Linked DNA regions of Kluyveromyces lactis. The protein of the gene in region 1 binds, or shares a complex with, the protein of each later gene. Links are inferred from orthologs where the notes say so. Each region holds a gene or a part of one and is shown in the gene's direction. Other genes may lie near its edges.

What was found. The genes of interacting proteins can lie anywhere in the genome.
Region 2: RPB3 (region 1) and RPB4 share a complex: the UniProt entries of both Saccharomyces cerevisiae proteins name them as parts of the RNA polymerase II (Pol II) complex. The link is inferred for Kluyveromyces lactis from reciprocal best matches to the Saccharomyces cerevisiae genes RPB3 and RPB4.
Region 3: the proteins of RPB3 (region 1) and RPB10 are in contact, whole or in part, in a crystal structure (PDB 3K1F), measured with the Saccharomyces cerevisiae proteins. The link is inferred for Kluyveromyces lactis from reciprocal best matches to the Saccharomyces cerevisiae genes RPB3 and RPB10. Residues at the interface, in NP_012243.3 of Saccharomyces cerevisiae: Asp16, Asn17, Val57, Leu58, Phe62, Arg66, Leu69, Ile70, Pro71, Thr110, Asn112, Tyr114, Gln135, Asp136, Glu138, Asn140, Gly141, Val142, Leu143, Ile144, Cys145, Lys146, Leu147, Arg148, Lys149, Gln151, Ala168, Lys169, Gly171, Ala174; in NP_014853.3 of Saccharomyces cerevisiae: Met1, Ile2, Val3, Pro4, Val5, Arg6, Cys10, Gly11, Lys12, Val13, Gly15, Asp16, Lys17, Glu19, Ser20, Lys42, Arg43, Ile57, Glu58, Phe60, Leu61, Arg62, Tyr63, Asn64, Pro65.

The regions. Positions count from the first base shown.
Region 1 is NC_006040.1:1,362,270-1,365,258, reverse strand, and holds RPB3 (DNA-directed RNA polymerase II core subunit RPB3), read left to right. Parts: upstream 1-1,526; coding exon 1,527-2,450; downstream 2,451-2,989. Other genes in the region: protein translocase subunit TIM44, read left to right, coding at 1-270; KLLA0_D16192g (uncharacterized protein), read right to left, coding at 678-1,043; 1-(5-phosphoribosyl)-5- ((5-phosphoribosylamino)methylideneamino)imidazole-4-carboxamide isomerase HIS6, read right to left, coding at 2,698-2,989. UniProt on the Saccharomyces cerevisiae protein: DNA-dependent RNA polymerase catalyzes the transcription of DNA into RNA using the four ribonucleoside triphosphates as substrates. Component of RNA polymerase II which synthesizes mRNA precursors and many functional non-coding RNAs.
Region 2 is NC_006037.1:539,734-542,216, reverse strand, and holds RPB4 (DNA-directed RNA polymerase II subunit RPB4), read left to right. Parts: upstream 1-1,296; coding exon 1,297-1,899; downstream 1,900-2,483. Other genes in the region: serine/threonine protein kinase YAK1, read right to left, coding at 1-672; KLLA0_A05775g (glycosyltransferase family 15 protein), read right to left, coding at 1,949-2,483. UniProt on the Saccharomyces cerevisiae protein: DNA-dependent RNA polymerase catalyzes the transcription of DNA into RNA using the four ribonucleoside triphosphates as substrates. Component of RNA polymerase II which synthesizes mRNA precursors and many functional non-coding RNAs.
Region 3 is NC_006040.1:575,967-578,130, forward strand, and holds RPB10 (DNA-directed RNA polymerase core subunit RPB10), read left to right. Parts: upstream 1-1,367; coding exon 1,368-1,580; downstream 1,581-2,164. Other genes in the region: NAN1 (Nan1p), read right to left, coding at 1-878; dynamin-related GTPase MGM1, read right to left, coding at 2,106-2,164. UniProt on the Saccharomyces cerevisiae protein: DNA-dependent RNA polymerases catalyze the transcription of DNA into RNA using the four ribonucleoside triphosphates as substrates.

The DNA.
Region 1 (2,989 bases):
ATTTTAGATATCAGAGGTGTAGAAATCGTCAGTGCCAAGCTATTACCACCTCAGGATATCCCTGTCTTGGTTGTCGGTTGTCGTGCTCAAGAAATTCACTTATACAGAAAAGCAAAGACCGGTGAAATTGCAGCAGGTGCTGAATCCAGTATATTAATGAGTTCTTACGCCATGGTTTTCACCAGGGATCCAGAAACTGTCGACGATAAGGAAACCGAAGGTTGGAAGATCCTCGAATTTGTCCGTGGTGGTTCCAGACAATTCACTTAATGACCATGACTCCGAAATTTTTACTCAGTACAAAAATAACAAATAATAATGATACAAAGCCAATACCTTCCCAACCTTCACTTACTATCGCTCTGGAATAGATTCATGAGTTCGTTATTTGGAAAAAACGGTGGCGGAACACAGCTTTCACTACCTAATCCTGTTCTATATTGCATGCCTGGTAATGTTATTCTTGGATTACTGCGAACTATCAGAGCGTATGAAAGAAATAAAGTGTTGGTTTTGGTCGTAATGTACATTAAATCATCATCATACTAAGTTAGTTTATATTTTACTATATAGATTATCGTCGTTTCTGTTTGACGAAGAAGGAACAGAACGACGACAAGAGAATTCGTGTTAATAGTATCCTAATCCTTCTATAATCCCTAGGAGAAGAAGTTCAGTTATATGTTTCTTGGTGGCCTGTATATCGCATTCTTACCAAATAAGTTCCTAATTATACTTCTGCCAATATTACGTCCTGCTTGTCTGCAATATTGTAACCATGGCTTGGCAACGATATAAAATAACGAGAGAAAGACACCCTGCAAAAATGGACTTATCAAAATATCTCTAGCAACAACTTTTGCAACGATATATGGTGTAATGGGAGGATCTACGACAGATCCATCAGCCACCGATAGAGTTAATTTATTCTGTTTCAAAGCTTCTTTCCTCAAGGACTGCTTAAAGGTCTGTTCAAATCGCAAATCTGGCAATGACGCCTTTACTGAAACTTTCTCATCCACACGGGCAATTCCTTTAGGCATGGTAAAAGGCTGATTATCTGTGGATAACTCACCTTATTTTAAATTCGGTGATGTGTAATTGTACTTGATATTTCGCCTATTGCGTGGGATCAGCTTTCTAATATGTTCAAAAACCGATTTGAAGGTCCTACAAAGAAGAAATAATGCTAATAAGAAAGAAATGGGGCCACTATTGTTCGAAGAAGTTAACTATAGGTAATAAAGGCTATATATACATGACTCCGAGCAATATTATTCTTAGCTGAGCCTATTTGAAACAGTATTGATGGAATAGTCCTATGCACGTGACCAAACGCTGCCAAAGCTCAAAAATTTTCCAACTGAACAAAAGTGAAAAATTCATAAAACAATAATCGAATGCACCAAGGGAACGAGAACAAATCATTTCGTTGCTGTAGTTTGGTCAATACTCTGGTATTTGATTGAGCAAGGAGCAGGTCATATCTTAGGGAGAAATCAGAGTTTAATACTGCGAAAGAACAAATGAGCGAAGAAGGTCCCCAAGTAAAAATTAGAGAAGCAACCAAGGACAACGTTGACTTTATACTTTCTAATGTCGACTTGGCTTTAGCAAACTCGTTACGTAGAGTCATGATATCTGAGATTCCTACACTAGCCATCGATTCTGTTGAGATTGAAACTAATACTACTGTGTTGGCAGATGAATTTATTGCGCATAGACTTGGGTTAATTCCATTACAAAGTGCAGACATTGATCAAGTTGTATACTGTCGTGACTGTTACTGTGAAGATCACTGTGACCGTTGTTCAGTAGAGCTAATACTACATGCTATCGGTGAGAGTGAATCCACGACGAACGTTTATGCTAAGGATTTGCAGATTACCAGCGATTTGAAGGGTAGAAATATTGGCCATCCAATTATACAAGACAGAGAAGCAAATGGTGTATTAATCTGTAAACTAAGAAAGGGACAAGAGATAAGAGTGAAATGTATCGCTAAGAAGGGTATTTCAAAAGAACATGCGAAATGGTCACCATCAGCAGCTATAGAGTTTGAATATGATCCATGGAATAAGTTAAAACACACAGATTACTGGTACGAACAGGATGCAAGGGACGAATGGCCTCAATCTAAGAATTGTGAATTTGAAGATCCTCCTAACGAAGACGAGGATTTCGACTACAGGGCCAAACCTAATACATTTTACATAAACGTCGAGTCTGTTGGTTCCATCACTTCGGAACAAGTCGTCGTACGTGGTATCAAAACTTTACAGGATAAAGTAGCCGACATATTATTCTCATTAAAGAAGATGGACCAAGAGAAAGTTAATTTCGCAGCAGGAGCTGTATCTACGCACGTATCACAACAAGTGCCGATGGAAGAAGATATGGATCCTTATGGAGGGCCAGTAGGAGGCTCAGGATACGATGATGCATGGTGAGACAAGACAACAAGAAAAAGCTACCACAATTATCGTGAAAGGCAACGATTTTTCTATAATTCATTGACGAAACACAAGGCATATATTCCTTAATACTAGCATACTCAAAGGCACTAGCAGCATCTGCTACCATCCAATCTACCACGTCCGTTCAAAAGTTGAACGGTCAAAAATGTTTCAATATCTCTATCTCTATATAGAATGTTTATTTCCATCGAAAGTGTAACTATTAGACAAAGACTGGAAGCTAAGCGTGTTTCTCATGGTTCCATTGGACACAGTCCTCGAACTTTACAAGGGATCCACCAAAAATATCAAGAGCACTACCAAAGGTCAAATCAATTTTGCCATGACTCAATTTCTCTACTAGCCTTAAATCATCCACACTCTTAGCGCCGCCTGCGTATACGATTTTCACTTTTGGAATATCCGCAGTCCATTTGTACAAATGAGCCACTAGCTCTTCATCAATCCCATTACATAGACCCTCTACATCTGCTGCATGAACCAAGAATTCATCGGTATATTGACAAAGATCA
Region 2 (2,483 bases), on another chromosome or scaffold:
CCTTGACGACGGAAGTGAACTTGAGCCGCCACGCGTGCTCATGTATGCACCTGCAGTAGCGGGATACACAGAAGAATTTATGGAGCCAGCCATATATCCCGCAGTATTAATTCCAGGTTTCCTAAGCTGAGATGGTTTCGTTACCTGCTGTGGCGAAAGTTGACTGCCACCAGTGACAGCAACCGACTGCCTTCTTTGTGCATCATTATAGTTGGGAAACGGTTGCTTCTCATAAAGGAACGGATCAGGCCCTGCCGCACGCGCAGGTGGTATTACTAAAGATGAGTTTCTCCTTCTGAACTGTTGTGAGGATTCATCTACAGCGTTATCTTCTTCGTAAGTAGTGGGCAAGGGGAAGTTGGATTGCTTCCTCATAGTAGACCTCTGAGACTCAGGTATCTGGGGAATCTCTTGCCATGGGTTTTTGAATATCGATTGACGTGGCGACTGCATTTGGAAACCACCAGCCGCATTTCCGCCTTGTTGCTGCCCTGCATATATATTCCCGCCTGCATTGGAGCTACTCCCAGCTGGCCCATCAGGCGCAATCTCTGGGCCCTGATTCTGGGTATTTGCCTGCGTCTGAGAAAAGTTCTGGTTCTGATTCGAACTCGACGCTCCCTGCTGAGAAGCCATGAACGCAGGGTTCCAAAGGCTATTCTTATCCCCCATTTATTATATATCAGATTATAGTCAACGTCTAACCACGTTATTGCAGCAAAATATTAGAAAAGCCTCTCTTCCAACAAAGAAATGACCAATTCACAACTCAAAGTTTCAACGGAAATACCTTTTAAACGTTATATCGACTGAATAACCCTGAGTTTCGCTTAAAGAACTTATAGCAAAACAGTAACAGAAACAAAACCAGCTAAAGAATGTACGCCTTCCTATATTAAAAAACAGCTAAATTCGAATCTGGCTATACCTAATCACGATGAGTACCAAGTACATACAGCGCTGCCCTAAAAATAAGCCCTGGTGTCCTGTACAAACAAACAGCTTTGCCAAGATTCACTTTAATACCTTAAATACAGAGAACATTCATGTCATGAAGTCATAGGGCCAATATTCTGATGTTGAGTTTTCGCATAATTACCGTTAGGAAAAAAAATGGAAATTCAATTACGATTAAAACGAGAGGTAAACTAACTTTGTCACTCGAAACATCAACTGGAGTTACATTTATCTAAGTTGTACCGTTGTCAAAGTGGCTGATTACTGGAATAGCACTTTTTGTGATTACACTCGTCTACTTTTTTGGACCGCTCTTATAGATAACAGCTCGAATTTACCATGAATACATCTACATCCACTGTTCAAACCAAGAGACGTGGGTTGAAGAAGTTTGTTGAAGAAGAGAATGCTGCCACTTTACACTTGGGAGAAGAGTTTAATTTGAAGCAAATCAACCATCAGGGGCAGGAGGAAAACCTAGTGGCTTTAAATTTGAGTGAGTCTCGTTTGATTATAAAGGAAACGCTACAGAACCGTCGGAAATTATTCAAGACATGGGCAAGCAATGGTGCATCAAATAAGGACGATGACATGGATGATGAAGATAACGTCAATGTGCATACCCAAACACAGGAGAAAGAGTTACAGGATATAGATAGATTGCTTGAACAGACCACTGGTGGACAGAATCAAGCGTTGAAGCAGACCATGATATACCTAACGAATTTTTCACGTTTCCGTGATCAGGAAACAGTAACCGCTGTATCACAGCTTTTATCATCCACAGGGTTGCATCCATTCGAAGTGGCGCAATTGGGTTCTCTATCGTGCGAAGATGCAGATGAAGCCAAGACTCTAATTCCAAGTTTAGGAACCAAGATATCTGACGAAGATCTAGAAAGAATCCTAAAGGAATTATCGAATTTGGAAACTTTATACTAAAACCTATGTACTATATCTTATATATATCCCCGGTTTCACCTCTGCTCCATCATCTAATAAATAGTTTGCCGGCACCGTTTTTCCACCATCTCATCAAGCAACTGTTTGGGTGGATGGGAATATTAGATTCGCCGTTAGGATCACACATACAACGGAGCACTAATCGTGCTGATATGGACGTGGGACATGTTTCAAATGGAACATGGCTGTATCCAATTTCATCAAAGTGGTGGATTTCATTCTTGTCTAGAAGTAATGAGGCACCTATACTGTGCACGGGTGCATCACCCCAACGTTCATAATAAAACCCACCCTTGGAGTCCAAGTAATTGAAATACTGAAGATACTCGTCACTTCTAAAGAAATTTAGATCTCCAATTTCGAAATTGGACCAGAAATGACATAGATTATAGTCTGTATTCGAATCAACAACAGGGAAAAAACGTCCCACCATCGTGGTATCCGTCAAAAAGCTTAGACTGTTGTTAGGATGTAGAATTTCTGGATAAGTATCCATGAATTCCTCAACAGCATCCCATAATGTCGTTACCGTATCCTCATATTCAAAGATAGATATCACAAAT
Region 3 (2,164 bases), about 790 kb from region 1:
TTCTCCCAACCACCAGACAGTAAATATGCGTTGTCATTTGTAAATCCTAAGGATAGGACTGAGTCGATATGCCATTTCAATAATCTATGAGACAGATCAGGTAGATTGATCAAATTTATAACACCAGATGCAAATCCAATAGCCAACTGCTGGCCGTCGTTATCTAACGCAAGAGCAGTGACAAAATGGGAATTTATGGTGGTACTAGATGTTGTAGATGGTACTGGGAAGTTCTGAACTGAACTGTTGTCGACCATAGATTTGATCAGCACATGTTTTTTAGTTTCCTGGTTCAAATAAACTAGGGCAAGGTAGTTATTGTTATTAGACCAAGTTGAAAGTAAAACATTCTCAAAAGTTTCAAGGTGTTTAACCTCAGATTCTTCCTCTTTCTCTTCAACGTTTTCATATAGATCATATCTGTAAGAGTTCCCTGTTTTCTGAACTGTAAGTAATTTCTTCCCATCGCCAAGAACTGCAAATAACTCGCCAGTAATATTCAAAGACCAAGTTTTAATCTCCGTGGCTAATTTACCCTTATACTTCAATATAACTACTTTCGCAGTGTTGGTATACACTCTGATCTTATCCATCTCATCGTCAATAATAGGCTCGATATGCACCACCTCTACAGAAGGCTCATCGAGTATCGAAGTCAAAATATCATTATTAGCAAATTTCAATGTCTTAATACATTGTCTAGTATCAATTGAATACACTTTGAACTGATTGTTGAAAGGGACAATGTATGCTGACCCGTCCTGAGTAAGACAACTCACCGATTTTCTAGTCGCGGATCTATTGTGAATCCTAGGAAGAGCGACCTTCCCACCAGAAACAACAGAAAGCTTGTACATTGGTAACGAAGAGTTTGGCATATTTAACGTGGATTCGATAACAGCTGATACTCTTGTTGGTGCCTCTGGCTGATCCTACTCTTGGTATTTTCTTTCTCTGCTTCTCAAAAGACAAGCTCATCATATAACTCATAAGCTCATCGCATCTTTTCAATTATTTGTCTAATGTGGATTCTTTTTTTTCACCGTATGTAGAATTGTAGTTTTGGAAAATTTTATGGTTGAAACCTGTGCAGGACGAGGATTTGAAAAGAAACGATGGTCATCTCTATCGTGAGAAGTGACATATAAGGGCATCTAATGAAAAATTTGGAACCGATGAAAAATTAAAGTATTAAGAATTAAGAAAGCTGGTTGAATATGATGATTTGTGATGCAAATTATATGAGTTTTCAAAAGGTCGAGCAGGTTTTGATCCACTTATTGTGATAGTTTATAAATCTCGGAGGGTTTATTCCAGGTTTCCAGGTTTCTAGGTTTTTTTTCGTTTCGATATACTTTTAAAGAGAGATGATTGTTCCAGTTAGATGTTTTTCCTGTGGGAAAGTTGTCGGTGACAAATGGGAAGCCTATTTGAATATGTTGCAAGAAGAAGAACTAGAAGAAGGTACTGCTTTGACTAGATTGGGGTTGAAGAGATACTGTTGCAGAAGAATGATTCTAACACATGTCGATTTGATTGAAAAGTTCTTGAGATACAATCCTTTGGAAAAAAGAGATTAGGTGGTCTGCTTTTACTATCAATTGCGATACCCCCTTCTACACTAAAATGGTCCATTCTCTTTAATTACGTCTTCACTTTTCTGCCACTGGTTACTACCGCGTTGTTTTCTTGCGTTCTTTGTTTGCATTTTATTACGTTCGACGTATGGACTCCAGAATAGACAAAACCACTGAGTTTCAATTACCATCTGTTTGCTGTAACTTCTGTTCAGCTGCTGAAACGACAAATAAAGAAAGCACAAGAAGCACGCATGCACGCATGCACACAATTCTATTTCATGTACTATTGCATTGTATACTATTCACATCACCTAAATAAAGCATATTCATCTGATTTTATAAATTTGGTATGTTGGGATTTTAAAAAGTTCATTAATTATTTAAAGACGGGAAGCCTTACATAAGATGTTGGCATATTTCCATGTAGAAACATATTAAGATTAAGTTTTGTTTATATACAGTGATCTCGTAAATAGTAGTCATTATAAAGTGTTCCAGAAGCGGTTGTATAGGATACAGTGATCATTATAGGTTTCTTTTCGACAGTCCCTTATAGGATTTTCTGAACATAAGAATAGAATCTA